Rhinolophus ferrumequinum: one gene and its partners. The protein of the gene in region 1 interacts with the protein of each later gene in a pairwise test. Links are inferred from orthologs where the notes say so. Each region holds a gene or a part of one and is shown on either strand. Other genes may lie near its edges. The genes, in order: HOMER3, MOS, EIF3D and FRYL.

Region 1 (8,438 bases):
GAATGCAGCCTGTATATAGTGTCTCCCCTGTGTATGCAGCCAGTGCATAATGTGTGACCCTTTCTCTTTCCCTCAGTGGTCCTCCTCCCCCAGCCTGGGGGACAGGAGGCTCTTCTGTGACCTCCCTTGGGGCTGCAGGATCCATACTCAGGGAAGCAGATGTTTCCGTCCTGTTGGAGGCCTGGAATTTCAGAGATAAGAGGGCTTCAGAGGGGGGAGAGAGAGGGAAAGAGAGAGAGAAAGAGAGAGAGAGGGAGAGAGAGAGAGAGAGAGAGAGAGGAGAAAGAAGGGCCAGATAGAACAGAAAGGGGGTTATTGAGACAGACTCCCTCCCCAAGGCCCTGGGAGTGATATGAACTCAGAGCCTGTGGCCAACCCCAAAGATACAATAATAGGGCTGATAACCGTCATTTGTTATCAAGCACAACCCAGGATACCCTCTGCCTCCAGATAACAGAGGAAGAAAGTCTTAGGATCACCCTTCTCAGTCCATCTACCATGTGGCACTCTGGTGAAACTTATCCAGCACATGTAAAAACAGATCCTGACCTTCTCCTGCTCAAAAGCCTTTCATGGCTCCCCAGGGCTCTGAGTATAAAGTCCACACTCTGCTGGGGCCCAAAAGGCTCCTTGCCCACCAGGCTCCTCACTATCCCCCCAAGTCAACCTGTTCCGGCCACACCTGCGTCCTCAATGCTTCTCCAAGGGGCAGAGCACATTCCCACGTCAGGGCCTTTGCACATGCTGTTCCCCTTCTCTGAGCAGCCTTCACCAACTACGGGTCTTTGCTTGTTGCTTTGTCTGTTTTTCTCTACTTTGCATAAACTGTCGGAAGTCAACCTACTTGTTCCTCTGTTAATCATCTGTCTATGCACCAGATAGCTGTGCACTCCCTCAGGGCAGGGCCTCCCAGAGTGTTGGGACACAGGAGGTGCTCAATAAACATGAGTTAACAGATAAGGAACCACCATCTTACAGAGAAGGAAATAGAGGCCCAGGGAGGCCCCCAATGTGTCCATGGAGACAGGCTCTCCCACCCTGGGTGTCTAAGCCCAGACTGTATCAAGTCCACCTGCAGGCAGGTGATGCCTCCTCCCCTACCAGTGTGTAAATAAGGCTCCAAAGGCTGCAGGGAGCAGGGCTTGGCTCTCAGACCCAGTTTAAAGCCAAGCTTTCCACTTGGCCAGTTTTGATTTGGAGAATTGGTTTAAGGCCCCTGAGCCTCAGTTTTCTCTTCTATAAAAATGAAGTTAGAGGTCGGGCCCATGGGGTCCTGTGTTAGGCGAGCACAGCAGGGGTCCTCCCCAGTGTCCCCTTTGTGGCCTCCCACACTGGGCGATGATGGGGCCCTGAGAGGCCTTGGCCTGAGCCTGGATTCTGAGAAGCCCTGATCTGAGGTGGGGGCAGAGATAGCCCCCTCCTATGAGGTCAGGGTTGGAGGAGTAGAGGGAGTCTGGGAAGGCTTCCTGGAGGAGGGAGTGTTGGAGATGAATGCAGAGGTTCAGATGTGGGGTCCAGCAGTGTAGCCAATGGTGATAGGGAGCTGGATTCTCCCTTTGAAGCCTCCAGGAGAGCCATGAAAGGTGCAGGAGCAGGAAAGTGAGCAGTGCAGCCAGTTAAAGGGATCCTGGGAGGCAGAGGGAGGGCTCGTTTGGGGGCGTCCCAGAGAGGTGAATCCTGACTTCAGTCTGTGCCTGGAGACCAGGAATGGCCTCCCCTAGCAGATCAAGGGAAGAGGCTGCCACATGTGAGTCACCCAGTTCCTGCAAGAACATTCAGCACCCGTCGGCCCCGCGTAGGCTGTCACCAAGCAGGAACACAGCCCCCGGAGCCCCTCCTCTCCGCCTTCCCTGAGGCCTCCCGCTCTCTGTTCCCACAGCTGTTCCTTCAAGGCCGCAGAAGGAGAGTAGGAGGACAGGGCAAGCAAAGGAGAGCCCATGTAGACTGCTTGGCCAGAATTTGGGAGTTTGGGGGGAGGAGAGCTTCCCTGGCTGAGGGTCCAGTGTGCGCGCTGGGGCTGTCTAAGCCTCAGGACTCTACCCAAGATGGGGAAACTGAGGCTCAGGGAGGTTCTGCGCCCATTTTCCACATATATAGACACCTGGTTCTCTCCTAAAAGCTAAAAACCAGCTTGGAGCCTGCATTGTAAATCTGATCACGTCTCTCCCTCTCTGGCTCCCAACTCTCCCATGGCTCCCAAGTACCCTTGGAATAAATCCAACACACTTTATCATAGCCCATGAGGCCCCACCTGGCCTGTGACCCCCTCAACCCTCAGAATCCCCTACTCTCCTCTCACTCTGGCCACCTGGCTTCCCCACTGTTCCTCCAATGCACCCAGCCCATCTCCACCCCAGGGCCTTGGTACATGCTGTGCCCTCTGCCCAGAGCACACTGTGTGAGTTATTATCCCCATTTGATCCCTCAGGAAAGATGCAAAGAGAGGACGTCATGTGCTCAGAAACACACAGCAAGTCAGTGGTGCTTGGTGTTCCCAGCCAGGCCCATCTGACCAGCCCTCCACAGCAAGCCCTCTCCCCCCGATGGTGCCACGATTAAAACAGGCCTCCAGACCAGTCCACCTCAGAGCTGATTCTCAGCCCCTCCAGGTCTTGCCACCTCCAGCTATGTGCCAAAGACCCTCAGGCCTCAGGCCAAAACCCCTGCTCAGGGAGCTCCTGGGCCAACCCGACCCACACATCTCCCAGTGTCCCTCCTGTCGTGGCCGCAATTTCTTCGCCCCACTTTCTGCCCTTCACGCTGGTGGATGGCAGAGCCTTCAAGGACGGCATAGCCAAAAATAATCGGTCCCGACCTACCTCCCAAAAGTGGAGCAGCCCCCGCCCAGCCACCTGGCACCACAGAGGTAATTAGTGCACGTGGCAATGAGGGTAATTAGGTCTGTGGGATCCAGGTTTGGAGTTGGGAGGGGGCACAAGTGCTGCCACTTCCCACCCCTGACCTGCCCAGGTCCTGGGAGCTCAAGTTCATAACCCAGGGCTGGACCCCTTCCCTCCTCAAGCACCTGTGTGCCTGGGCCTGAGCCAGCGGGCTCCATTATTTCCTGGGGGCTGTTTAATGAATTAACCTTAGCTTTGGGCAGAAGTTGAGTTAGATATAAAATAAGGCAGAGTTACTATCACCAATATCGAGTCATCAAACTCTCCTCTGCCATAACCCCCATGCATCCACCCAATGCCAGGAGACGCCAAGCTAAAGGGAAGCCTCAGCCCAGCTCTTGAGGTGCCTCAGGGTAGCGGAGTCAGAGTTAGACACAGACACCGGCAGCCCCTTGGGGTCAGAGTTGGGCCAGAAGGAGGGAAAGTGTTGGGGAAAATCTAGGGGAAGAGGAGGGAGGGCTTCTCACAGAAAAGAACACTGGAGGTGGGGTGTTGAGGGACGATTAGGAGTTTTCCCAGAGGATTAGTTCTGGTAGCTGGCTCAACTGGACATGGCTGGGGGAATGGGGAGAAGGAAGAGGAGGATGGCTGGAGGGGCACATAAGGGACCCAGAGCTAAATATTTAGAGGATATCACACCAGGTTGGACCAATTTTGTCCCCAAGAGCTTACACCTGGTTGGAATCCTTCACCCTCTAACAGAGAAAATCTTAAGAACTTTGCTCAGGATCAAAACCACATGCCCAGACAGCCAAGAATAAATATAATGTTTATAACAGTGAGCATTAATTAAGCTCCTAGGATCATGCCCTCTTCATACAAGGACTTGGGTCCTTACAGGAAACCTCAGAAGTGGGCACCATTCTTATGCACATTTATAGGTGGGGAAACTAGGACACAGAGAGGGAAAGTGGCTTCTTTAAAGTCACACTTCTGGTAAGAGGCAGGGCTGGGAGTCACTTTCTGGCTCCTGTGACTCTGGAGACCACCAAAGACCAATGTTGGGATCTAGCGATCCCTTCCTTCTGGAAGCATTTACAGAGGATCTCCTGCAGGTCAGGCTTGCTCTAGGTGCTGGGCAGAGCTGTGAAAGAGGTGGATGGTAACCAAATCATGCCACAACAGATATAGGTAGCCACTGTGACTCATGTCCTGTAGCTGGGCATGTCCCTTTGGAGAAGAGTGACAGACTTCCCCTCTTCTGGTGGGACAGGAACCCTCCAGAGAGGACAGAAGATTTAGCTTTAGTACAAAGGTTGGGTCACAATAAATAGAGGCCATAAGCGCCACTCTGCAAACTGCTTCCCTAGAGCCCAACAAGCCATTCTAGTCCTCGCTTGGTGCCTCCTATGACAGGTTGTTCATTCTCTCATGTCCTTCCTTAGTCCCAAGGGAAAGCTGTTACTTCTAGTCAGCCACTCTGGGGTGGTGCTTCTGCCCACCCTGCAAGGATAGACCCAAGGAGAAGTGGGCTCAGGCTGGGGTAAGGGTGGCAGCTCAGGGAAGCCCCCTACCCATCTATACCCAAGAGAGAGTGAGGAGCTGCTGGTGTCACCTGGATCCTCACTGCTTCCTCCCCAACCCCAGGCCAATGCTCATCAGCCCATTCTCCAGGTGAGAAAACAGGTCTGTACTGACAAAGCCATTCCCTCAGTTTGGACTTGACTAAGACAACTTCAGGTCAGGGTTGCTCAAGGCCAGCAGCATCCCAGCCCCTCCTGGAGCCTGAGAGGGGTGTCCAGGAAAGGATTCAACTCCCCACTCTCTCTCATGCTGTTGCCTTCTGCCCACACAAGGAGGAAAGCTGGCCTGGGCCCTTCGCCTGCCTCCCCCTTGAATGGCCACGTGGCCCCAGTTCTGTAGCCGGCTGGCACTCAGCACACCCTAAGCAGCTTCCAGAAGACTCGGCCCTGCAGGCACCTTTCCAGTTACTTTATTATTATTTCTTTGGTAATAAGGAAAAGTCACTTTTGCACAGAACAGACGGTATTCTCTTTGTTCCCCACAGTGTTCAAGCATTTTGTGGCTTCAGGCCTGAGAGCGAAGCCAAATCTTTTGCTCGTACAGATGCCTTGTGAAGTTAGAAGCAGCCTGGGAAACTGAGTCTGTGCCTCTTTCCCCAGTAAGGCTGGGGGTCCAAGATGGGCTGGCCCTCCAGGAGCTCCCAGACCTGGCCGCACTGAACTAATAAACAGGTAACACACATCAGTTATCCGACAGAAAGGGAAAGGAGAGTGGGGCAGGGCAGAGCAAGATCGCTTCCAAGCCCAGGATGGTCAGAGAAGCTTCCAGGAGGAGAGGGGCGGGGAGCTGAGCCTCGAAGGACCAGGCAGAATATATGCCTGTCAGAAGGGCATTCCAGGTAGAGGAAACAGCTTGGGCAAAGGCCTGGAGGGAGGAAACTCAGGTTTTGGCCTGGGACTAAGTCTCTAGAATTCATCTAAAGGTAATTTGAAAGTAGCTACCAGTTTAGATGTGTGATTCTTGTCAGGCAAACAGAAATAAAAGAAGAGGGAAAGGAGATGTGACAGACCAAAAGCAAAACTTCTCAGGTTGTCAGAAAGCTCAGAGCGTCAGGGAACTGTGAGCCTCGGGCAAGGCCTCCTTGCCTCTGCCCACCGCCAAACGGCACTGTGCAACTTGGAGGCAAGCTCAGGCCTGGGGAGGTGATCGCAGCTCAGCCCCCTGAGGACCTGCTTCTGGTAAGTGTATGAAGGGCGGGCTCCCTCTGACCAGAAGCGGCAATCCAGGCCTGCGGAACTCCACCAGACTCACCATTCGGTGGGAACTGGACCCCGACCATCCCTAAGCCCTAGATTCAGGGATCCTATAACACACCAACGATCACCATCCCCTACGGTTGTTGGCATTGCCACAGTTGTCTTGTTACATTGTTGTAGTTCTCCGTCTGTCTATCTCCTGTGTCTCTACCTCCCCCCGCCCCGTCTCGGTCTCTGGGTCCCCCACCCCAGTCCCCTTCCCCGCCCTTACCCCCAATCCCACCCCTCTCCCCATTCCTATGGGCTCCCCCACCCCCAGCACCGTGGAGGGCCGGTAGAGGGCGCTGCGGGAGGCCTCGGGGCCCGGGGAGGCGGGGCGGGCGGCGGCCGCGTCGGGACCGACCGCGATGGGACCGGAGGCGGCGCGGGCGGCGGCGGCGGCGCAGACAAAGGCGCGGGCGGCACGGAGGGCGGCGCGGAGGGCGCGAGCCCCGGAGCCATCGAGAGAGCCGGGCGCCCGGTGCGGGGAGTTAGCACCGCTGGCCGCACCCGACTCCGCCCGGACGCTCACGGGGCGCCCAGCAGGCAGGGTGAGCCCGGCCGGCCGAGCTTGCGTCGGGGCGCGCGGGCCCCGAAATTCCAGGGCCGGGGAAGGGCGCCAGTGTCCCCGAAGTCCCGGACACGGAGGATGGGGGCAGCCGGAGGAATCCCGAAGTTCCAGGTCTTGCGGGGGCGCAGGGGCCCCTAAGTTCCGGAGCTCGGGTCGGGGAGGGGACAGTGCGAAGGATTCCCAAAGTTCCGCGCTCGGCGTCGCAGGAATGTGTCTCCCGAAGTTCCAGACCTGGGGCGGGGGTCGGCGCAAGGGTACCCCGAATTCTAGACCTGGAGATAGAAGTGTGGCAGGGGGTCCCCAAAGTTCAGGAATTGGGGGCGGTGCGGACGATCCCCGAAGTTCTGGACCTTGGGGTGGAGGAGGCAGATAATGGTCCCCGAAGTTCTGGTCCTGGAGTCGGGGGCGTCGCAGGGATCTCGGAAGTTCCAGGGTCGAAGGCCTCACTAACCGAAGTACTGGGCGCCCCGCTCCTGACGCGGGTGGGGACTCAATCCTGACTATCAGGCCCCCGACTGGGACGCGTGGGGTGGGGCTTCGCTCCCACAGGCAATTGGGGATTCCGGGCACCCGGCGGTTGGGCCCCCTCCCGGAGCCCCACCGCCGGCGGCGTCCGAGGCACATGACTAGTTGGTGAGTAACTTTCCCCAAATGCGCAAGTCTCTGCAGGAGAGTCCTGGCCTTAAGGGCGTGAGTTCTGGGACCCCTGCGCGCCGCGGAGCCCCTGCCAGACCCAGGACCCGCCCCCAACCCCGGCCAGAGTTGCCGCCCCTCCCCCACCAGGGGCTCCGGTTTCAGACCCTGTGACCAGGACAGCAGCTGCCCAGGAAGGGGGGGGACGTCCCCCTCTGACCACGGAGGCCACTTGGCCGTGCATCCCTTCCTCCAATGTGTCCCCCCTTCTCCTAGGTCCCTCCTGGATCCCCTGCAGATATCCTGGATGCAAGTTTGTGGGCGCGGGAGGGTCAGGAAGTCTCCCTGGGCAGCTGTTCCCGGCTTTGGTGGGAGTGGGGTGGCTAGAGGAACCAGCAGAGACTAGGCAGACCATCTCCCAATCCTGGGTCCCGCCCAACCCCCATGGTATTGGGAGTGAGTGCTGATGGTGGTCTGGCAGTGGGCACCTGTGATTGGTCCTGTTTGGCTACATCTTGTCTTTTTAACTAGGATGGGGTTCCCTGAAGATTTGGACTTTGACCCTAAGTCTGTGCCTGGGGCCTAGAGTGGAAGTGGAGGGGTCCCTCTGTGGGGCTTGTGGGAACTGGTTTCCCAGTAGGCACTTGGTGATGCCTCACTTTTTGCTGGAGGCCCTGGTTTGGGGAGTGATGGGTGAATGTGTGGGGAAATACTGAGCGGGAGCTGGCCTTGGCCTTCAGGACAATGAGAGATGGATGCTGAGATGTCAGGGGCCACCTGGCTCCTCTCAGAGAGCCATCTCCTGCCCAGAGTGTGGTAGGGGCTTCTCTGGGTGGAGAAAGTCAAGGTCTTCTTGCTCTGAGTGACCTACTGATTCCCTCACCTTTTTGATTGAAGTTCTGTGAACGGTGCACCTCGTGTTGGGTCCTGAGGTTGGACCTGCTTGGCCTCACTCAGCGTGTCCTGGTGGGACACTGACAAGCCCCTTCTCCCCCCAGAGGCCGAACCAGCAGCTCCTGCCACTCCTCTGGCTGCCCCTTGGAGCTCACCCAGCCCAGCTTGACCAATGTCCACAGCCAGGTGAGCCCCTGTCTCTACCGGCTTGGCCCTGAGCCCCTGGAGGTGCCCAGCCCCCACTGAGAGCCCTCTCCCCACGCAGGGAGCAGCCCATCTTCAGCACACGGGCACACGTGTTCCAGATTGACCCAGCCACCAAGCGGAACTGGATCCCCGCTGGCAAGCACGCACTCACTGTCTCCTACTTCTACGATGCCACCCGCAATGTCTACCGAATCATCAGCATCGGGGGTGCCAAGGTCCTGGCGGGGCCTGGGTGGGGCAGCAGGGGACAGGGGTCCCAGCAATAGGCCTGGGTCTGCTTGTTGCTGTGTGGCTACGGGCAGAGGGAGTAGGGAGCCCTGACCCTTTCTGAGCCTCAGTCTCCCTCCTGAAACGGCTCAGACCAGAGCCTCCGAGGCACTAATACAAAGTGGTCCTCCAAGGTCTGACGTTCATTATTAGCAGTCCCGTTAACCTTGAACTTTGCTCCCCTCTCCCCAGGCCATTATCAACAGC
Region 2 (7,430 bases), on another chromosome or scaffold:
TATCCCCACTCCTTCTCCCATCTAGCAACCCTCAGTTTTTCCTCTATGTCTCTGAGACTGTTTCTGATTAGTTTATTCATTTATCCTTTTCGTTAGATTCCACATATAAGTGAGACCATATGGTATTTGTCTTTCTCTGTCTTGACTTATTTCACCTAACATAATGTTCTCTAGGTCCATCCATGTTGTTGCAAATGGTAAGATTTCATTCTTCTTTATGGCTGCATAATATTCCATTGTATAAATGTACCAGTTTCACTATCATGATTTCTAATTCCATCTTCCCAGGATACACTGGAGAAATGACTGATTCAATATCTGGGGCAGGGTAGATTATGAGCCTGGGGGTAACTTGCTATACCAGGATACAATAAATAATTCAGATTAATGGGACTGTGTCAAAAGAACAGAAGCATTGTAAAACACAATAATGATTGCACTTGGCTAAACCACATCGAATCTATGGAAAGCTATGAGTCCATAATGGTACATGGGAGAAAAATTACAATAAAGTTGAGTAAAGATGGTGAATTGAATAGCCTGTACTACTTCTGGATTTTTTTCAACATGTTATTTTGATTCATTTACTTTATCATTGAAAAATACAAAATTTAGTAAATATTAAATACATAATTTAAAAAAGTATTTTCTGCCTTAAAGAAGGATGTCAGTAGAATGATTCCATAAGTTGGACAAAGCAATTCAAGAGTGCCAAATTTCAGATACAATTTCAAATATCCATGAACATTTTATGGTCTTAAAAATGTGAAAAAATTTGCAAGATACCATTTGCTCAAAGGTCTTTAAAACCAGTTTGATAGGCATTTGTATGTCTTAACATCCTGTGAAGTTTAAAGGTAGAGAAGTTAGAAGTTAAATGTTACAGAAGTAAGCATATATTTATGTATCTTAAGAGTCAAAATCCAAAATCCAAATGATCATCCCAGATAAGAGTGACCAACCTCCATGAATGAACAAAAGAAGCACATAGTGTGTGCAGGTTCCACCCAGGGACATGATCCATGTGATCCAGTGTTAATATCTGTCAAGTGGGAACCTGTGCATATTTTGGACTTCATACATTTGTAACATATAAGAGAATTTGGCCTATTATAGTGATGGCATGTATCTCTAATTTAAAGTGTATAATTCAGTAATTTGTTTAAATTTGTTATTTTTTAGGGTATAATTGACATACAACATTATTTTAGTTTCAGGTATACAACATAATGATTTGCTAGCTACATGTCTTGCAAAATGATCACCACAGTAAGCCTAGTTAATATCCATCACCATACATACAGAATTTTTTTTCTTGTAATGAGAACCTTAAGATATACTCTCTTAGCAACTTTCAAATATGCAACACAATATTAACTATAGTTGCCATGCTATGCATTATATCTCCGTGACTTACTGATTTTATAACTGGAAGTTTGTACTGTTTTGACTCCCTTCACCCATTTTGCCCTGCCCCTGCCTTTGGTAACCACCAATCTGTTCTCTGTATCTATGAGCTTGGTTTTGTTTGTTTATTTTAGATTCCACATATAAGAGAGATCATATAGTATTTGTCTTTCTCTGCCTGACTTTATTTCACGTAGCATAATACCCTCAAGGTCCATCCATGTTGTCGCAAATGGCAAGATTTCATTCTTTTTTATGGCTGGATAATATTCCATTGTATATATGTACCACCTCTTCCTTTATAAGTTGCTGTGATTTCTCATCTAAGTAATATTCACTGAGATACCTAATTTTTAAATCTTTTGCTTAAAGAGGATCCCCCAGTTTGTATAAACTTTAGGCCCCACAAAACTTGGATCTGCCCGATCATATTATGTTGCAAAAACTAAAGTAGCTCTATATGTACTGCACTGACATGGAAACACATGTATGATATATTGCTAAATATAAAATTTAAATTTCAGATTAATATCAACAGTACAATCCTACATAAGTAAAAAATTTTCAAGTATGACTATACAATACAAAGTACGTGTATTCTTTATATCTTAGTTTTTAGTTCTAAAAAAAGCAAAAATGAATTTTCAACCTTAGTTCAGGCTTGTAAATAGTAATAAAAACACTTCAAAGACTCCAATATGAGCATTCTCTCACATTTTAACATTGAAATTTGGATGAAACCTGAGATCACTGGGAAATAGTCCCCGGGGTGGCACGATGTTCACTCAGTGCGCAAGCGCTGACATGGCCATAAGGATACGAGGTGATAGTCCTGAGTGGGGTTCTGTGCGTTGTTGTAAGACCATTGACTTTAAAGGCCTTTTAATAATGTCTTCCAAGAGCTTATGTGATGATTCTGACTTGAAGTGAAAATAAAATTCTGTGTATGCAGAAAGGCAAGGAAACAAAGCAGCTTGGAGTACATTTGACCTTTGGCAGCACATCGTCTTGGGGGTGACGGCCTCGTCCACGTGCTCCTCGGCACCCCCCCAAAGCAGCTCACTCACGGCCTCCACCACGCTGCGGTTCCTGATGAGGTGCGTACAGACTCCAGGGCCAGAGAGGCCTCGGGAGCCCTGCGTGCGGCCTCGTGCAGGGGAGGCGGCGATGGCGTTCGTCCAGCTGCATGAACAGCAGCCGCTCAACTCCTGTGACTTGGGGATCCCGGCAGGGAAACTGCTCTTAAGCGCTGGGCTGGCGAGGCAGGGCGCTCCTACAGCCGGCGCTGCCCTGGATCCGCCGCGCCCACGCTGGCCAGTAGCACTCACGCCCTTTACGCAGTGGGCAAGCCTTCGCGTGCACCAATAGATTTCCTCCTACACCCAGTGCTTCTGAATTCTCTTTGATTGAAATAGAATTCAATGAGCTATTAATTCCGGTATCTGTTGTCACGTCTTGTGATAAATATGCTGTTCTTTCTCTGATACTGAGGTATCCCATAACAGTCATGCTGCCAATGAAAGAGCAGAAAATGTAAAACCTTTTCTAAGAACCAGAGAGCCCTTTGCTCTTCAGTAGGTGCATGCACACAGTCTCTTTAATTTCTCTCCTTTGTTTCATTGGCAATTCTAGAGTAGATAGTGCCTACCCTGTTATCAGCAACTTTTATTCTTTGTCTTTGAGGACGACGAGGTTATTGCATTTGATCAGATTAATGCTAACCCTCCACATTTTAAACATATAAAAAGGCAACATACTCTTTTATCTTTAATCTCAAATAAAATTTAAGTGCAGGAAAAAATACTCAAATTAAACTCCAAATTGGTTTAGCTTATAATAACTTGCCTTGCTTCAGCCCTGGTAGGGTACAATCTAAACCAATACTATCTAACAAATCTGCTTCTTATTGGTATAAACCCATATACATTTTTAATGAGTTTCATAAATAATAATTAACATTTAGGTATCACTTATTAAGCTCTGACCTAAGTAGTTAAAACTATGTTAATCCTGACAACAATCCTGAAGTAGGCATATTTTCCTCATTCAGCAGATTTGGAAACGGAGGGACAGTAATAAACCCAGGCTATCTGGCCACAGAAGATATTTTAAAAAGGATATTCAATTAAGTACTCTTGTGCAGATTGGCAGATGACAAGTTTAATGAACTTGGGGTTTGTGAATGTACAGAGTACCACATTTTCATTAATACTTATATTTTATTTAAGTAATAACATCAAACTTTGAAAAATGAATTGTTTATGCTGTGATCTTAAAAATAGATTTTTGTGATAACAAGTTGCATTGTTTTGCATTGGGTGTCAATACCAAGGAGGTTAAGGCACTCTATTGCTCTTATTCGACTAATAGTCATAGCAGTCCTAATAACACAGAACAGTTTCAGAGCCCTAAAGTATAATCCCAACTATGTGATGACTATTGAATAAATTTTGCAATATTGACTTATTACAGATTATAATTTTATTGCTTTTTTATTTTACTCTATTCACTGTTATCCTTTTATATTTTGGGTCTGATACACCTTCATCTAACTGTGTTTCTATTAAAATATCACATAGTTTACATTTTTTAGATTTTTACTGTTATTAATCTGGCCAGGGCACCCCAACTTTTATTCCAAGATAAAAAATTTAATAATGATTATGCTAATTTCTTAAGTGAAAAGATGGAGGCTTAAACAGGTTAACTATTACACACCATATCACATACTAAGTCAAATGGATAGTATAGAGTAGAAATCCTATTTTAGAGTTCAAGAGACTTCAAAAGGGCTTGTGTTTATAAACATACCTTTTCAAAACCAACATATTTCAGAAGCATAGACCTATCATCATAAAAAGGTGGTTACACATTACCTATGTGCTCTAAGTACAAAAATTCTTAATAAAACTTTACCATTTGATTTTTAAAAATGTAGATCCTAACATTTTCCTGTGCTTTTTAATGAACAGGGTAATATTGTTGGTCCTTTTTCCAAAGATATGGAATGAAAATTAGTTTTTTTATTATAAAAATTAGAAAGGAAAAACTTATGGTTGGACAGCAAGACCATGAATTTAATTTCAACATCTGGTTTTCCACATTATATACAGGCACTAGTGATTCTGTGCCATTTTTATTTCTTCAGATTTTCCCTCTCCTAGGATTCTCTCATATTTATTATTACTTGAAGCTCTGATCGTGGCTCTGAATCATTTTTGTTCTTTTTTCTTCACCCAACTCTGCTTCAAAACTTCTGCAACTCATTTGCTGTGGAGTCTAGAATCTCTCTTGCAAGCAAGCTTACTGGGTGGGCTGAACTGCCGTGGAACGGAAGGATTGTTAGGAAGTCAATATGTTGCTAAGTCTTGCTAATTTGCTGTATATGCTGAATGCAGTATAAGAGACTTTTCCTTTCCCGCGCTGAATTTAGGAGGTGTATGTCTATGTTTTGACCTGTATCAGTGATTCTATTTGGATCGATTACTTTAAGGTTACAATTTTTTATCCATATATGAAGATTGCACCTAATTATCCCTGTAATTGGTTTAACAAATGTCAGCCGTTCATATTTCAACTCTTTCTGCCAATAACTGCTGGAAGTGATTTAATGCAGCTGGAGAATAACTGACAATCATTACAGTCTGCAAAGTGTGAAATAATTTCATTGCACTGTTGTGGTCTCTTTAGGCTGATAACTGATAATGTTCAGAGGATGAGATGTGAAAAAAAAGCCCGTTTTATTATAATAAAAAGTAGTGTAAAGGGTGACTCCTGGGGCAGCTCAGTGCTGTTTATCTGAGAGCTTGGTGTTATAAGAATTCACTGTAAGTGTTGAAGGGAAATACTTTCATCTGAAAGATACTGCTGTGCTTCGTTCAGATTGTTTTCTCCCATCTGATAGAAACCCTTGCTGAGTAACAGCACAGATGCGGCTCATTTGGGGAAAATGAAGGAAGAGGAGAAAAACGCTGGGGTGGAGCAAAGGAGTAGGCAGTCAGTCATGCTCCCAAACTCACGAGTGTTTTTCCTTTTCACTTACCTGAGCCGCTCTGGGTCCACTTTGAAGGGGCGATGCCCTCACCTCTCCCACGGCGCCGTTACCTCCCTGGGGAGTTTTCTCCTTCGGTGGACTCGAGGCCCTGCAGTAGCCCCTCCAAGCTCCCAGGTAAGGCAGGGAAGCTCTTTCCGGGGGCCACTCCTCCTAGGGCCCCACGGCTGCCACGCCGACTGGCCTGGTGTTCCATTGACTGGGAACAGGTGTGCTTCCTGCAGCGGTTGGGAGCTGGGGGCTTCGGCTCGGTATACAAGGCAACTTACCACGGTGTGCTAGTGGCCATAAAGCAAGTGAGCAGGTGCACCAAGAACCGACTGGCATCCCAGCGCAGTTTCTGGGCTGAGCTCAACATTGCTAGGCTTCGCCATGACAACATCGTGGGGGTTGTGGCTGCCAGCACGCGAACGCCTGCAGGCTTTAATAGTTTAGGCACCATAATCATGGAGTTTGGTGGCAATGTCACTTTACACCAAGTCATATACGGGGCTACCAGCTGCCCTGAGGAGGAGGAGGTGGAGCCTCACTGCTGTGCGGGAGAGCAATTAAATTTGGCAAAGTGTCTGAAGTATGCCCTAGATGTTGTGAATGGACTCCTTTTCCTTCACTCACAAAGCATTGTGCACTTGGACCTGAAGCCAGCTAACATTTTGATCAGTGAGCAGGATGTCTGCAAAATTGGTGACTTTGGTTGCTCTGAGAAGCTGGAAGATCTGTGCTTCCAGACTCTTCCTCACCACTTAGGTGGCACATACACCCACCGAGCCCCAGAGCTCCTGAAAGGAGAGAACGTAACGCCCAAAGCTGACATCTATTCTTTTGCCATCACTCTCTGGCAAATGACTACCAAGGAGGTGCCTTACTCGGGGGAGCGACAGTACGTGCTCTACGCTGTAGTGGCCTATCATCTTCGTCCGTCTCTCTCAGCAGCTGTCTTCACTGACTCCATCCCTGGGGAAAGACTTGAGAAGATCATCCAGGGCTGCTGGAGGGCCAGTGCATTCCAGAGGCCAAGTGCAGAAAATCTCCTGGTTGAACTTAATTCTTTGAAAGCTGAATTTGGCTGACTCTAAACCTATATCAAGATAAGCTTTTGTCTTTGTTTCTATTTATTTTTAAAGAAGTGAAGATGTAGAAAAAAAACATTTGTAGGATGGATTTTAAGAAAATAAAGTTACTAAATAAATACTCCTTTAGTCTCAAATGCTTTTTCTAAGACAAATAGCAGAGCTACAAATCTAGTAGTCATCTTAGTAGTTAGTAACTAGTCTTATTCTTTTATAGGGTTATATGCTTTGCTTTCACAGCTAGAGGGCTTACTTAACAGTTCCATAGTATTGCATTTATTTAAGTTTGTTACTGATAAAACCAACTTGTCCAAAACAGAACTGAATTGTAAAATGCCACAATTTTCTAAAATTCAAATAGCATCACCGTACCCACCACCTAAATTTAAACTATTAACAGTTTACTGGCTCCCATACCAAATAAGTAAAAACTTTCTTTGAAACAAAGATTAAATTTTCCCTGCTCCCTCCCCGCCCCCATTTCTTGTTTGTAAAGCACAGGTGCCCACTGTGAAGTGCAAACATCAAGGAAGAAACTCCTGAGAATGGAGCTGAGATCAAACTGAGCTGAGCTTATAAGAGTTGGTAGAGAAAGAAGGAACAGAAAGTGTTGATGAGGATCTAGCCATGACAGAACTCATGATAGCAAAATACCGTCCTGAACATTGAGAGGGTCACCAGGGGGTGGGATCCCAGAATACAAGACAGGCACAGAAGCCTCCTGAGCTTGGTTTGCTTGGAGGGAGAAGTATGGCTGCATGGAGAAACCCACATTTATAGGAAACAAATATGGCCTTTTGGGTGACTGATAAAGGAAGTCTTTGAGTTGTAGCAGAATACCCTGACGGGAGGTAGAATAAACATGTAGCTTGCTTCATCTGTAAGAGTCAAAAGAAATTATT
Region 3 (7,935 bases), on another chromosome or scaffold:
GGCATTAGACCAAGAACACAGGGACCTTCACAGCCCAGAAAACAGCTGGTTGGGAGACCCTGAGGAGAAAGGAATGGCAACATCCAGGGGAAATTGTCGGAAAGAATGTCGGCAAGTCAGCTAAAGAAAGACGCCCAGGCCAACAGCTCAGAAGTAGCTTGTCAACCTGGTTGAAGAGCGTCTGAGAGGACAAGGGCGTCAGAGAGGGTTAAGGAGAGCGACGTTGTTTGTATGAAGGGGAGGCATGCAGGAGATTGAAAAGGGCCCCAAAACAGATGGTAGAAGCCAAGCAAGAAGCAGACACGTCCTGGAGGAGAGAGGAGTGAATCTGGAGGTGGCCATTCTGTTAGAATTGACAAACTGGAAGGCATGGGGAAATGGGGACCGAGTGGGACTTGGGGTGACACCAAGAAATAAACAAAGGAACTAGAAATGTTTACCAAAAGGAAGTCCGTGAAAGGCAAAGTAGCAACATGAGAGGGGTGAGCTCCCCAGCACTAGGCACATGTAAGCAGAGGGGACAGCAACCAGCCGGCCAGTGACAAGGAAATGCCTGCCTGGAGGGAAGCGTGGACCAGATGAATGACTAAGAGGATCCTTCCAGTCTCGGCATCCAAGGGCTTGTCCTTCCCTCCTCGGAAGGTCACGTGGGCACAGAACGGGCCCCTTCCCTCTGCAACTACAACTCTCCCCCGCCATCCGCCCGACCTGCTCCCCTTGTCCTCCAGTCTCCGCTCAAATGTCACATCCTCACAGATGCCTTCCTGAACTCCCACCTTAGCAGCGCTGCACCCCAAATCGCTCCCTAACACACAGCCCTGTGGCAGCATCTTCACCCACTTCTCACATCTCTGTACACTTGCCCCATGTCTACCTCCCCCCACTTACAAAGCACCGTCCTGGAGAGCAAGACCTTCACCCATTTTGCTCTCTGTTACCTCTCCACACCTAGCTCCAGACCAGGCACACAGAAGGTGCTCCATAAATGTTTGTTGAATGAGTGAAAAAACCACATCCAGGTTTCTTCTGCCTCTCACTAGTTGCCTGACCTTGTGCTAGTGAGGTCACCTCTCTCAGCCTCGTTTTACCCTAAAATTGGTATTAAAATACTGTAGTCATGAGGCTCAACCGAAAGTAAGAACCTCGTCACTTATAAACTGCTGTGCTAATATTTGTTAACTGTGACTCGCAATAATGAAAAGTTAGTCATCTGATTGCCCAAAACAGTGTTTGTGTCTCTCCGGACTGGAAAGACACTGTGGAAGCTCCATTGCCTTTTGAGAAAAGGGCACCTGCCCTCAAACCTACACTTTGCTGGCAAGAAAGTTGTTTATTTTACAGTCTCTGAAAACAGAACGAGAAGGCCCTCGATTCCTTAACTATTTCCCGGCCACACTCTGTAGGCCAGGCCCTGTGCTGCACCATCAAACTTCAGGAATGCAGCCCCATGCTGGAGGAACCCAGAGTCTGGGGGAGGAGCGGTGGGGACACTGGTAACAGAACCAGAGGTGTGGTAAGTGCAGCGCTGGGGGGCTCTGCTAGGTGCTGTGGACACCTGGAGGAGAAACCTGTCCTCAGAGGTCACTCATGCATCCAACAAACATTTCCCAAGCACCGACTATGTGGTAAGCCCCATTCTCGGTCCTGGGGATACAACAGTGAAAGAGACATGTGAGACCACCCCCCACGAGGCTTACATTCTAATGAGAGGACAATAAATAAGTAAACAAACAAGATCATTTTAATGGAGATAAGTGTTAGTCACCCGGTAAAACACTAATGGGATATGCAGAAGAAACAGGAACCAGGCTGCTTCCGGAGTTTGAAACCCGGCTCTACAATGCACTTTGCAACCTACAACACCTCTCTGTGCCTCCATATCTTCATCTGTAAAATGGGGAGAATAGGACCCACCTCCCAGGGCTGTGGTGAGAATTAAATGTAAGTTCTTGGAATCGTACCAGGCACATGGTATGAGAGAGTGAATGAGGACAGGGCAAGGCTGCTCAGAGGGGTGGTCAGGAAACGCCTGTTTGTTGAGGACACAGGCTCGTGAAGATCTAGGGGAGATGCATTCCAGGCAGCAGAGAACAGCAGGTGAAAAGGTCTCAAGACCGGAATGAGCCTGGGTCTGACCCAGAAAGAGGCAGCTGCCAGTGGGAAGCTGCCATTTAGAAACTTGCAGGCCATGGAACAGAATGGGCTTTTATCCTCAGGATCAAAGTAAGCCACTGAAAGATTTTAAGCGTGGGAGGGAGGGAGGGTGAGCATGCTCTGATTTCATGTACAGGAGTCGTTCCAGCTTTCCATCGTGTGGAGAATGGACAGAGAAATAGGCAGAAGGAGGCAGCAGGGCTGTCAGCTGGGAGGAGGAATGGAGGCAACTCCCACCCAAACCCATGGACTGACTATTGAGAATGAGACAGGACACTTCAAATCCTCCTCCATCTGGGGTGGGCAGGGACATCTGGGCCAAAATATGGGAAAGATGATTAAACTCTGACATGAGAGAAAGACTGCAGAAGAAGGCTGTGGGCCCACAGCAAAAAAAGATAAAAGACAAAAGGCATTTACTAACAATTGTCACCCCAATAAACTTTAATTAAAAAAAAAAAGAACATGAAAAAAGGCAAAAGGTATGATCCAAGCAATTTAGCAAAATTACATCTCCTCTTATATTTTAGCATATATTACAATTTACTATTGATATGAAATCACACTAACATTAATTGAGTGCTTATTTACATGCCCAGGATAATATGCTAAATTAATTTTCTCATTTAAAATTCTCACAAAATCCCTATCCATTCATGCAACAATTCAACAAATGTCTATTACCAGGCACTGTTCTAGGTAAGCCAGACAAAGCCTCCATCTACCCTGGTGGAGCTTACACTACACTGTAGAGGCAGAGACAGAGCCTAAACAAGGAAACAAAATATATCAGAGCGTGATGAGAACTATGAAGAAAACAAAGCAGAGTAAGAGGGTGAGAGGGCCGGAGAGAGGAGCCACTGTTTTAGGAATGGTGGTCAGAGAAGATCTCGTTGAGATAACTCTTGAGTGGAAACAACAGATGATGAGACCAAGCCAGCATAGGTAAATTTGGAGAAGAGTATGCCGTGCAGAAGGAACAGTAAGTGCAGAAGCCCTGCTGAGATGGAAATAAGGTTGGTGTATTTGAAGCATAAAAAGAAGACCATGGTAGCTAGAGCAGGGTAAGTATAGAATGGCAGGATATAAAGTTGAAAGGTAGCTACGGACCAGACAGGTCACAGGAAGACATTCATATTTCACTCTAAGCACATAACGGGAAGCTGCTAGAAGGATCTGAACAAGTTGCTTTGACCACCATGTGGAAAAGGAACCCTAGAGGAGCAAGACTAGACACTGAGAGTCCCGGCATGAGGCTGGAGATGGTGGAGAAAACTGGTAGTAGTCAAGACGTATTTTGAAAGTAGAATAAAGAGGACTGAGTGAAGGGCCGAATGCGGTGGGAAAGGGAAAAGGAACTAGCAAGGATAACAGCAAGGTTTTGCACGGAGCATCGCTGACGGGGTACCATTAACAAAAAATTAGGAAAACTGGAAGATGGGCACATTCGGAGAGAATTTACGGAAACAGATGCTGCTATTAACATTTTCATTTTACAGGTAAGTTCACAGCTTTGGACAGATCGAATAACCAAGTTCACCCAACTGGTAAGCTGAATTATTATTGTCACATACATTTTTTTACCCTCACAGCATCCCCTTGATATTATCTCCAAGTCACAGGTAACTGAGGAAAGGGAGGCCCAAAAATGTGAAGGCTACACAGCTAGAGCGGCAGAGCCAATAGTAGGTTTGGGGTCTAATAGCATATTCTTGTCCAATACAGGAGACAGGCTGGGAGGCTGATAAGGAAACCTAGGAGGCAGGGGAGAGGATCTGAGGTTTGAATAAAATCGCGCCCTCGGATTCTCCGTCAATGTTCTGAAATTCCCCAATAGGATTCCGGGCAAACTCCGCCGGCTGGCAGTTGCGGCAAGGGCAGCATCGTTGGCCATTATAGGAAAGAGGTTCCGCCACTCCAGAAACACAGGGGCGAATGAAAACGCAGGTTCCTGGACTCCAGCTCAGACATACCTGAGTAACAACCTATGCAAGTGAGCCCCGCAATCTGTATTTTTCAAATTAGGGCTCCAGCAATCTCCGTCATACAAAAAAGTTTGGGAACTGCGAAAGTATGGTTTGAACCCTGGCAGCCACCCCCTCAACTAGCAGGCTGAACTACGCAGGTCACTTTACACCTCCAGACCTCAGTTTCCGAAACTGTAACAGTAGTGGGCGGAACGGGGCGGGGGGTGTAACAAAAATGTGCCTACGACGCCCGACGTGCCCCTGGGTTATTGTGGGATACAGAGGGGCCGCGGCGTCCCGTGAAGCATTGTGGGACAGAGAGGGCCTGTCAGCCATTCACCGCCTCCAGCTTGGGCTGCACGCCCGCCACGTCTCAATAAACCTGAACGCCCTCTCGGAGCGTCGCCGGATGCCCCATGACGTAACTGTAAACACCCCTCTTACATCTTGGCGCCGGGAAGGCTAACGAGGCCACCTCGCAAAGAGCAGTGACAAATTTCCGGGTGTGCCTTCGCTTTACGGCTCGCGCTCTGTCGCCGAACCCAAAGGAAGCTGGCGAGCCTTTTACGACAGCGCAGGTCGTGTTTGCGGCGCCGGTCGCTGCGCGCGCATCTTCTGTCCTTTCCCGGTTCCTCCGAGTGCAGCTGGTAGTGAGCTCTCCGGCTTGGACTATCTTTCGCCATCCGGGCCGGCTGAGGCCGTTGCAGGTGAGTGGCGCGTTCCGTAGCGTTCCGGGAACCTCCGGAGCCGGCTTGGGCGGGGAAGGCCTCCGGAAGAGACCCCCCCGGTATGTCCCCCTCTTGTCCCCGCTGTTCCTGCGCTGGGCGTAGCAGGAATCCGCCTTCGGAATCCCAGGCCCAGCGGGATGCGGGCCACGGCCTTGTGGGTGAGGTGCTTGGCCCGAGACGCCGCTTAGCGATCACGGGCTGGACGAATTTGATAATGTCATTTAACTCAGTTGGGTCGCAGGGTCTCGTTTAAGTGGCCAAAGGTTGTCTTGAGTTTCTGTGAGTGAAGTATTGGGAGCCAAGCTGAACGGTGTTCGGCTCTGCTCTGAGGAGTTGACAGCCCAGAGATTTCCTTCCCTTTAATGTGCAATGGAAGGCTAGAATGGAGTAGATCTGGTCTGATTTGAAACACACACACACCGGTATTGATGGCCTACGATCTGTAGTGGCAGCAGTAATCTGCACGACACTGTGGTCCCCTAGAAACACAGCCCCTTCTGGGTGCTTCTCCATTCTGCCCCGGTAGCCTGTATAGCTGTCTCTCCGTTCTAACTGCAGAGCTCAGTTTGTCCTACTGGTTCCATTCTGCTCACTCTTATTTTACATGTGTCAAAAGCGGACTTCCTCCCCCTGGAAAAATGCCTGTCAAGCCTTGGGCCTATTTCCTTCCTGAGCTCTGGCAGACAAGCAGATTTTTTTTTAAATGTATTTTGAAACATCACTGTGTTATTAAATGTGGTCAAAAACCCCAGATCTTTTGAGGCTGCTGTGCAGCTAGAATATAATGGGAAGAATGCTGCACTTATGGCAGACAACCCTGGAAATCAAATCGATTTTGAAATGATAGGCAGATCAATTCCTTGATTTGGCTGAGCTGCAGATTTTTACCTTTTAAGTGCTGGTTGGGGGAATTAGTGGCTAACGTATCTAGCATGGTGCCTGACACTTACTAGGAGCTCAGTAAATATTTATTGAATGTGAATTGTTTTGAGACCGCCACCCCTTCCTCAGTCCTCTTCCTGGAGTGTAAGTTAAGTTCAGAGTTGGAGGATGCAGCTCCCAGGTTCATTCTCTTGCTGTCACCCAGCTCCTGTTGCTATCACCTCTGTAGGAAGCCTTAGTCTCCCCTTCATGGGACAAAGAGGAGAATTTACTAAATTCAGTATCCAGTGCTCTTTGATTGCACTCCACCTGTCATGTGGGGTCTCTGGTCCCACTCCCCACACAAGAACGCAGGACATGGTGAGGCCAAAAAGGAACACCCACGGAGCCATAGATAGAGGAGTCATACCACTATTATTCTCGCTGGCGGCTGGTTGGAGACACAGGAATAGGAGCCACACGATCTGCAATCTGCCGTCCGCTTCTCTGCCAACCAACCAACCAACCAACGCAGCCAAGGCAGTTATATTAGTGGCTAAATGGCTCACTGGTTACAGCTGATGGCCATCACTACCTGAGCCAGCACCCCTCCACGTGAGGCTGAGAGCCTGCAAACTGCTCTCTGGGACTCTGTCCCTACACCACCCTCCAGAAATATTTGTGTAATGAGTTTTCCTCCGGGAACTCACCTTCTGAGCATTTTCAGAGGCTTGCAATGGATGGTGGGTACATGGGTTTTTGACAGGAACTGTCAGCTGTCTGTCAAGCATCCGTTGGGAGTCCTTGGTTTTTACTCTCCTCAGAGGAGCTATAGCATTAGGCAGAGTGGACTCTGGAGCCAGACTGCCAGGGTTTAAATTTTTCATCAACTAGCATTGCAACTTTGGGCAATTTCTTAACTTCTCTGTGCCTCAATTTTCTTATCTAAAAAATGGGGATAATACTGGCCCCTACCTCAGATTGTTGGGGGATTTAGTGAATTTCTGCAGGTAAGCACAATGGACAGTGCCTGGTACTGAAAATACTTATGAACATTTGATCAGTGGCCACTTTGATGGCCGAAGGTTTCTGGTGATCTCTTCAGCTTTCCGGAAGGCCTTTTGCTTGGCTCTGTGTCCGCTTGTTCTGCATAAGGATTTGCGTTGATGACAGGAAATTGGAAGAACAAGAAAAGAAAGTTGAATTTCAGGGTATACTCACAGACTTATTTTTCTTAGACTCTATGTAAATGTATTTTTGCAAGTCTGAATAGTAATTGTGTGGCATTTTACAATGAAAGTATTTCCGTGTGTGTTAACTAATAGGACTTTTCACAGTGATCCTCTGATATAAATAAAATAAGGACCTTACTTATTTTACAGATGAAAAGGCTGAGGCTTAGGGAAGTTAAATATTATATGCCATGGTGAAGGTGTTTCTGAGAACCAGAACTTGGTTATTACACTTGAGAAAAAGTTACTACATTTTATCCAATCTGTGAGACACCACCAAGTTTAACCAAGCATGATTATTTTATTATAACACTATGAAAGAAAAACTGTCATTTATGACACCCAATCGAGCATAAGGTGCAAACTGATTTCAAGGATGTTCCAGTGGGAAAAAATGAAATATGGTAACTCAGTTTTGTCAGCAGCCTTCTGAGTTAAAAGTATTCACAAGAAGGGCGTAACTAACAGGGTTCCATTTTGTGTGTGGTGTTTTTTTTTTTAATTTTATCATTTATGTCTTAGTTTACCTCAAATAGAAGCCTTTTTTACTTGGAGGCCTTTCTTCATGCAGCTACTTATTTATATTTTGTTAAGGTTTGGAAGATGGCGAAGTTCATGACGCCCGTGATCCAGGACAACCCCTCTGGCTGGGGTCCCTGTGCAGTCCCCGAGCAGTTTCGGGATATGCCCTACCAGCCATTCAGCAAAGGAGATCGACTAGGAAAGGTATTTGCCTATCGGCAGGAGTTTAGACCTTTTAAGCTGTGGCTGCTACTCTCGACGAGTTCGTTTCAATTTTATCCTCTCAGAAGCATGATTCCCGTGTTCCTGATAGGGACACCAGCTGAGAAAGGTGGTCACCTCTGGCTACTTCCAGTAGTCACAGGCAGCTGGGCACTTACAAAGGCTTTGTGAGCCAGTCCTGCTACTTGCCCACAGTGTCCTCACTTTTGGGGGTTTCTGGGTCAACAGAAAATTGCCTCATTGACCTGT
Region 4 (8,102 bases), on another chromosome or scaffold:
CTGCTAAAGATGATTGTAACCTATAAAGAAAGTCAGAGAAGTGTAAATCAAATTTTTTCCAGGATAACCAAAGACATATGTTTATTTTATCAAAAATGGAAGTTGAAAATAAAAAGGTTGTGCATCTTCTACTAAAGAGGTATTGAAAATTCTAGACAAACATTGGGAAGTCTTAAAATGATACAGTGCTCTGACTGTGTGGTTACAAGAAAAGAAAACACATAAAATCATGGCATTAGTTTTTGCTATATCTGAACAGAAATTTATTCAGAAGTGAAGCAAAACAAAAGACCTAGACATCGCGGTACAAATCAATCCTAGATGAACATGTTGCAGTGTCCTAAAAGTGCTTCATACTCCAGTAGTAACTGGTTTTGTAATTTGCCCTAGAAGATAAAGTGAAAAGTAGTTTAAATTTCATTAAGTATAGACCAGTGCATGACCGTACTCGACAGAAATAATATGCTATTTGTCACATAAACTTTATTTCCTTTGAGGGAGAAATGAGTCCATGAACCAACAACAAAAATAAAGTATCCAGAATTATGACAGAATTCTAGATATGTTGTTAGTAGATTCAGAAATATATGGTGTGCCAATAAAAATTCCAGTAGGTCTGAATGATATTAAAAACAAGTGCATATGAATTAGTATTTTATTCATATATACCAGTTCTTTGTTTTCAAAGATTTGATTTTAGTCACGATTTAGTTGATTGTGCCTGTGAGTAAATGGAAGATCATATTTTGAAACTTGGCTAAAGGAATTTCAAATTAAGAAGTTTAAGTCCAAAGTTAATATTTTAGAGAGTAGTCAGTTTTTTCTGTTGGATTGAGGATTCAATTCATTAAGTAGCAAAAGAATTAAGACACCAGCTATGATTTAAAAGGAAGTTAATTTGAGTTCAATGCTAGATTTAAAATGCGGCCTATGTAGCTATTGAAAAATGCCAACATCTTTAATGGTAATAAAAGTATGGGATGTGCTTTTATTACATGTGTGAGACCTTATGTATGGTCAAACTCCCTGTGCTCATTGGTTTCATTCTGAGTAACCATCCAGTTGTTACAGATATGGTACAGTTGTTCACAGTCCATGACCCTCTCACAGATATTGTAATTGGACTTTGAAAAATATGTATCCCAAACATTATCTGTAGGTGGGATAAATATTAGGCCTAGTGGCCATATGAACGATTTTTCAAATCTGTTTATTTTAGTAAATAACATAAACATGTCTTCAATGTATTATTGAATAATTAAGTTATTGATGTATTGATTCAATCATTGGCTAATGAAAGCATTACTTGTCAATGCAAAGAAAACAAAGGAAGAGGAAACTTGTAGATTAGAAAGGCTTTAAAAGACTTAGTAACAATTGCCTATATGAATTTTGTTTAGATCTGGATTTAGAACAAACTGTTTAAAAAAACACATGATATAGTTGGGGAAATTTGAGCACTGATTGGTAGTTGATGTTATAAAGAATTTATTAATTTATAGTAGACATTACAATGATATTGGCTTATGTTTAAAAAGCAAATCTTTGTCTTAGAGAGATGCATACAGAATTATCTACAAATGAAGTATAAGGTATAAGGTCAGGAATTTGCTTCAGAATAATCCAGAGTGGTGAGATAGGAGTTGGGAGTAGGTATATGTATAAACGAAACATGATTTGCTATGAGTTAATAATGGTGGATTCATGATACTACTCTCAATTTTGCATTATTTAAAAATTTTTCACAATAAAAATTCAGGAGAAATGTAATGCAACATTATAGAAAGAGGATAACTACAGCAGTAGGTGATACTGCTATGTAATATTCAGAAGACTGATGGATATGAGTAGCACACAAATGTGCTTATTGTAAACATATCTAACATGTGAATTTTGTATTTTGTTTTTCATCAGAGACGAAGCCATTTATTTGAATCTTGGATGATTAATACCTAAATGCTTAATTCACAAAACTGCTCAAGAGTCCCACAGTCAGGAGTAGATGATCCAAGTTACCTCCAAGAAATTACTGTCTTGAGTTCTACGGTAAGATTATAACAAAATTATTTTAAAGGTTAAATAGTGACTGTGAGGTCTTATAAAGGTTTTTGGATCTTTTATTGAGCCACTAGTTTCTATTATAATTTCTTAATTCTGAAACTATTATACCAGGAGTTCAAAGTTGTGATAATCAACCAAAAATCATAGAAATATCATCATGCAAACAGGCTTTATGGCATTTCCTCTTCGGAGATTCAATTAGTAATGCATACAGTTTTGTCACAGGAACGTCATGCTTTCTCCTTGCTGTATTCTCAGGGTGGGTCCTGTGGAAGCTGATGCCGAAAAGGAATCTTCTGCCAGGGTGTTTTTTGGGGATCACCGTCTAATAAGAGAGGTGGTGTAGAAGCAGGTTGGGCAGAGGAAATTGAACTGCAGTGCAGGCTCAGCAAAGCCTTAGCCAACCCTTCAGGGAATCTGGTAGTTGTGAGAGTTTCTTTCCCTTCATAAATAGTAAGCTTCTGTGGGTAGAGCCATATCTTCAATGCCTGTGCATCTTTCATGGGCCTGTATCGTAGTTGCTCAGCAAATATTTATTTACTGAAGGAAATCTGAGAAAAATCTTGTGGTCTCTTCAATAACACCTAATAACATCCTTGCCCTTCGTTTCCCCAGTTGAAAGTGCAGTCAGAACGGTGGGGTTGATAGTGACACAGGTGGTGGCTTGTACATCACGAACGGACACGAAGGTAACTTGCCCTGTACAAGCAGTATGTGCTGTGTACCATTATGTTGCTGGGCTCCACAGATAAGGAAGACCTGCAAAGGAATCTGAGGAAAACTAAAAACATAAGTTTTAAAGAACATGAGATCATATCCATAAAGAGGAAAAAAAAACCCAACAAAGCCTGGAAGACACAGTGATAATTTCTAAGCTGTCGAGGCATATGGATTATGGTTCTAACCGGTGGTTTCTTCTGTGTGTGGGGTATAGTCTGCTCAGATGTGAATTTACAGCTTTTCATGTTCAAGGGTTTAGAGAGAGAATCTACTTCTTAGAAGCATTTTTTAAAAAAGTTAAGCTATTTTCCTAGTCAGTACATTCCTGCTTTAAGGAAAGAAATATTAGTCCTGTACTTGACTTCCTTGTTTCTTCCCTGCTTTTCACCGTAGGATTCCTTGAGACAGGATTTGCATTAATAAATCCTCTAAATTTCCCCTGAGCCTTAATACTATATAAACGTGTTACATGTAGAGGACCTTCAATTAATGTCTTTTAAATAATGAAATAAAAAATAGTTGACTTTATATAATCAATGTGGCAGAAAAATGAGGATTAAAAACGCAGCAATTCAGAACCAGAAATTTGTTTTTACATTAGAACAGTTTTTCCTGATATCTACATAGACAATTTTATGCTTTATCTTTTAAACTATATAAATCATTTTCTTCATGTTGAGTCTTAGAAGAATGAGGTTGTGCTTCTGTCTCACTAAGGGAAATCAGATTTTTAAATTATTATCAAATGTATGTCCTCAAGGTTATAAATTTGATTGCTTAGGGAGTTTACGCCTTATCTGTTCTCTTTGGTTTTTCATTTCCTTCTTGCTCACTTAATATCCCCACCAGAGGGCAGGCAAAAGAAGGGAAAAAAGACGATATTAATTTCAGTTTTCAAAGTCTTATGTAGGCATCTTCCACTGCGATATTTTGTCATGCTTCTGGATTACATTAAGACAGTAGGATCAACTACTTTTGCTATTTTAAAATATTTAGTATAATGCCTAGTTATTTGGAAACAAATTGTGTAAGGTTGATTACTGGGTTTAGTGAATTAAATATTTATACTTTATATTCTTAGATCCAAATTATTTTAAGTTATCACTTTCTTCTTGTAATTTATGCCAAGGATTCAGTTGCTGCTATTGATAATTACAGTTGATTGTATTCATTGGACATTGGACACATTGGAATGTTCATAATACAATGTAAAGTTTTAAATTTTCCTTTCATGCCCCATGAAACTTGATGTTCCTGAGGTCCATTAGTGAATTTTTAGAATTAAGAATTATCTTTTGACTGCAAGTTACTGTTTCTCACTTCAGTTGTAAGTTTATTTAAAAGGATGACACACCGCAGACCAAATTAAATTTGTCTTAACATTATCACAGTGTAAGTTTTCAAAGTCTAAATGTTAAACTAGATGAATGCTGAACATTTTATGGTCTCAATATTGCTGTTAACACCCATTGTAGATGTACAAGTAAAGTGCCATTTCATTGTCGATAACTGTTTGGTTTGTTATCAGTATGAACAGCAAATGTTCTAAAAATCAGCTTCAGAACAGCTGGCACTTGACCTACTGGTGTTTAGCACCACCTCAGCTCTCATGACGTTTCTTTGCTCTTTGACATAAATAGTGTACCTTATCTTCTCATCAAGGAAATTGGTACAAGCACCTTTCTGTGTGCTCGTAGGTCTAGTAATGTAGAACCTTAAAATGGATTTTTTAAAGAGAGTTGTTCCTCCCATTCTTTCTGGAGATGTGGTTTGGGATACTAGAGATGGTTTTCAGGAAAGTTCTCCAAGATTACTGAAGATGAGATGTCTTAGTTTGCTTTCATCGGAGAAAACTGTAGATGAGGAAGATGGAATCAATTTCTGTCATAGAAATTATGACAAACACCACCACCAACAACTTGGTAAAGTAAAAATGTTTCATTTTCAATCCCTTAAAAAGTATTTTAGGAAAGTAGAATTATTTTTACAAGTATCAATTCTAGTAAGCATAAATCTTTATTTTGAAAATCAAGTTTAAGTATTAAAAATGTTAATACATGTAAATATATAGTTGGTCTAAATTTTTTTAGTATCAAAATTTTTGCTTCAAGTTTAGATGGAGAAATATTTGTGCTCTAAATCAAATAAAGCCATTAATAAAATTAAGTTTGGTGATCTTTAGATAATATGTTGATGAAGTGTTATACTTATTGAAAAAATGTTATTGCTATAACCTGTAGAATATGTAAATGAAAAAAATAAGATGCTGAGTTTTACCTATCACCACAGAAATTGTGTAAATTTTGTTTTTAAAATATGCCCCGTTCTTTTGTTTTAAAGATAGCAAATATTTGAGTGAAATATAAAAAAGTCACATCTTTGAATATAATCATGATTATTTTGTGTCACAACCTTTATTTTGTATAACCCTGCAAAGTTAAATTTAATGCCTTTTAAAGTTTGAGCAAATGATATGTGTTAGGAGAAAAATCAGTTTTGCTAGTGACTAGCAAATATTAAAAGAAGATGGAAAAATTCTTTAAATTTTTACATTTTTGGTTAAAACATTTTAAAATGTTAAAATGTTCTGTATGATTATAAAATTTTTTTATTTTCGGAAACCAATAAGTGCTCATATAGTTAATATTTAATACAAAGAAGAGAGTTTATGTAAACCTTATGCATGTTTGATATATATTCTTATAGTTTTAATGTGCACATATACATTTTTATTTATAGAATTTACAAATGAGGTTTACTGTCCTAACTGTGCTTTTTCATTTAATACATCATAAACATTTTCCTGCCTCATTTAAAATGCACAAAATTGTGTTGATGTAATAATTAAATCAGTCCCTTATTGATAAACATTTAGAATGACTTTAATTTTTAGTTATTAAAAATTATGTAATATCAATTTATGTATTACATTATACCTTTGTTGATTGCTTCTTAACATAAATTTCTATGTGCATTTAAAATTTTGATAGATAATGCCAAGTTACCTTTAAAAAATTTCTCAATTTAAGCTCTTCAGGGCAGATGAGTGTTCCTATTTCTTTGTATTCTCCCTAACACTAGTTCTTGTCAGTTTAAAAAATAGGGTAGTATTTGTGAAAAATCAAACTTTGTTTTAAGAACATCAATTATGTAAAAGAAAGGAGAGGGAACTTTTAAGTTTAAAAAGAAATATATACATATATATTGATATCTACAATGTACTGGTATTTGAAGTTTCTTTTTATACTATTCACTCATTTGGGTGGATGAAGTAGAGGTGAGGCCACTGAGGAGTTAATGCCTCTTAATTTCAGTTAAAATCTGGAAATCTTTCAGCACTTAGTTTTTTGTCTCAACAATGCAAATATGCATAAGTGAAAAATATGAATATATTAACATGTGCATTATTTAAGTTATTAAAAATTTACTTTAGCTTTTAGCCTTGAATCACTTAGTTGTTTTCTCTACCACAGCTTATGTGGTTGGATTTGGTTTTTAATTAAATGTAATGTGTTATGCCCATTAGTTTAATATGGCTCCTTTTCTAAAAAAAAAAGACTATCTTATGTTTTTGAGTATAGCATACATGTTATAAAATGTAATAGATTTTGTAATTTATATTAATTTTCACATAAGCACTCAATGTAATGATTAGGAATTTTCCGTAGTATACTTGTATATCTTTTTACCAGTCACAGTCAAAACAAAGCAAAATCATGGAGCACTGAAGAATACGTGTATGTTGTCTGAAATTTCAGAGGCTACAGGTTCTTTGTGGAATAACTTGCCCAGTTTCTCTCCAAAAATAAAATTCAACTTGAGGGAATGACTGTTAAAATTAATTTAAAGGACTTCTTTGGCAATTTCTGTAGAGAGATTTGGTTTTAAAGTTTCTGGTTCTTCAATTTCAGTTTACTGATCAAACTCCTTTTCTTGAATCTCAAGATTGATACTAAAGTTATATTGTATGTAAGAATAAAACGCAGGTGGTTCGCACCAGTCTATACAAAGGTTACTTGCAACTCAGCATGAATGAATTTTTACTTCCTGTTTACTGGTGGTTCTGGGATAGAGATAATGTAGTAGTTTAGCCGAAAGTCATACAAATATGACTGGGTACAGTTCTTCTAAAGGGTGTTATAGTATTGTTCATTTAATGAAAGGAGAAATCAAATATATGAAGAGATTTCATATCAGTAATGCAAAGAAGGAACTACACTTTTAGCGAAAAACTGATGTGTAATCTCATAGTTTTGTATTTGGATCAGTTGTTTCCAACTTCTTTAGTTGTTAATTCAAAATTTAAAAAATTATTTCAAGGGATGTTAGACAAGGTTGTAATGTGAGAGGATCAACTAAGAATGAGTTAGATTGCAATATATCGAATTTACTTGCTATTTTTAACTCCAGAAGTATTTTAGATGTCTGTGGTTTCTTGAACAAAAATATGGGTAGAATTTGCAAGAGTTGATTTTTTTTTTTTTTGCAAGAGTTGATATTTTGAAGAATGTTTTTCTTTGCTTTTGATAACTTTTTTTATTTTTTAACTTTCTGTAAATATTAAGTAACCTAATATTTATAGATTTTTATAGAAATTCTCAAACAACTCACTGGATTTATCATAAGTCCTCTACAGAACATATTAACAAATGCCTGTAGTATACCACACTATTCAAATTCCCTGCCACCATTTCTGCTCCTAATAGGTTGTGTTGTGTGCTTACCAAGAATGGATTGTGTTTTATACCAAACCAGATATATCAATTGTACTTGTAATATAATTTAATTAGGTGTTACATAATTCAGCAAAGTAGGAGACTGAAAAAAAAGAGTTGTTTTGGTGTAAGCAACTTTGAATGCTTTGGTCAGATTCCACACAGGTGAATTCCTAAAAACAATTTGCTTTTGTATTACATGTAGGCCAGAGAAGTGTACATGATTGGAAGGATTTTGCCCTCAGATACCTTAAGCTTCTCATTGCACTTTGAAGAAATTGAAACTGGAAATTGTAGATGATATGTATGTACATGGGTTGAATTTGGCAAGAAAGAGAGATTTACCTTAAGAGACAAGTACTTCGTACTGTCCCAGAAGCCTAGGGAATAAACATGGATTTTATATGTAAAGTCAAAGTAAAACCTTTAGTGGACCTATTGACCTTTTTCCTCCCTGATTCCTACTTTAAGGAAGCTTTTTGATTACATGATTAGCTAACAGTTGTAATTTACAATAAAGGGACACTGGTGTGTATAGTTAAATAATGTTGCAATTTTGTTAAAGAGGTAAATCATTTATTTGCTATCCCCACTTAATAAATAAAA

The links.
Region 2: the proteins of HOMER3 (region 1) and MOS interact in binary tests that used the Homo sapiens proteins (3 or more experiments, as listed by UniProt). The two-hybrid records come from large-scale screens. The link is inferred for Rhinolophus ferrumequinum from reciprocal best matches to the Homo sapiens genes HOMER3 and MOS.
Region 3: the proteins of HOMER3 (region 1) and EIF3D interact in binary tests that used the Homo sapiens proteins (3 or more experiments, as listed by UniProt). The two-hybrid records come from large-scale screens. The link is inferred for Rhinolophus ferrumequinum from reciprocal best matches to the Homo sapiens genes HOMER3 and EIF3D.
Region 4: the proteins of HOMER3 (region 1) and FRYL interact in binary tests that used the Homo sapiens proteins (3 or more experiments, as listed by UniProt). The two-hybrid records come from large-scale screens. The link is inferred for Rhinolophus ferrumequinum from reciprocal best matches to the Homo sapiens genes HOMER3 and FRYL.

The regions. Positions count from the first base shown.
Region 1 is NC_046301.1:51,533,132-51,541,569, reverse strand, and holds the start of HOMER3 (homer protein homolog 3), read left to right. Parts: upstream 1-4,894; 5' UTR 4,895-5,095; intron 5,096-5,177; exon of another isoform or gene 5,178-5,602; intron 5,603-6,021; exon of another isoform or gene 6,022-6,210; intron 6,211-7,861; 5' UTR 7,862-7,929; coding exon 7,930-7,943; intron 7,944-8,022; coding exon 8,023-8,179; intron 8,180-8,423; coding exon 8,424-8,438. UniProt on the Homo sapiens protein: Postsynaptic density scaffolding protein. Binds and cross-links cytoplasmic regions of GRM1, GRM5, ITPR1, DNM3, RYR1, RYR2, SHANK1 and SHANK3.
Region 2 is NC_046297.1:22,013,352-22,020,781, forward strand, and holds MOS (proto-oncogene serine/threonine-protein kinase mos), read left to right. Parts: upstream 1-5,481; coding exon 5,482-6,528; downstream 6,529-7,430.
Region 3 is NC_046293.1:10,163,592-10,171,526, forward strand, and holds the start of EIF3D (eukaryotic translation initiation factor 3 subunit D), read left to right. Parts: upstream 1-4,682; 5' UTR 4,683-4,828; intron 4,829-7,536; 5' UTR 7,537-7,545; coding exon 7,546-7,668; intron 7,669-7,935. UniProt on the Homo sapiens protein: mRNA cap-binding component of the eukaryotic translation initiation factor 3 (eIF-3) complex, a complex required for several steps in the initiation of protein synthesis of a specialized repertoire of mRNAs.
Region 4 is NC_046288.1:7,822,251-7,830,352, forward strand, and holds the start of FRYL (protein furry homolog-like), read left to right. Parts: upstream 1-4,460; 5' UTR 4,461-4,501; coding exon 4,502-4,703; intron 4,704-8,102. UniProt on the Homo sapiens protein: Plays a key role in maintaining the integrity of polarized cell extensions during morphogenesis, regulates the actin cytoskeleton and plays a key role in patterning sensory neuron dendritic fields by promoting avoidance between homologous dendrites as well as by limiting dendritic branching.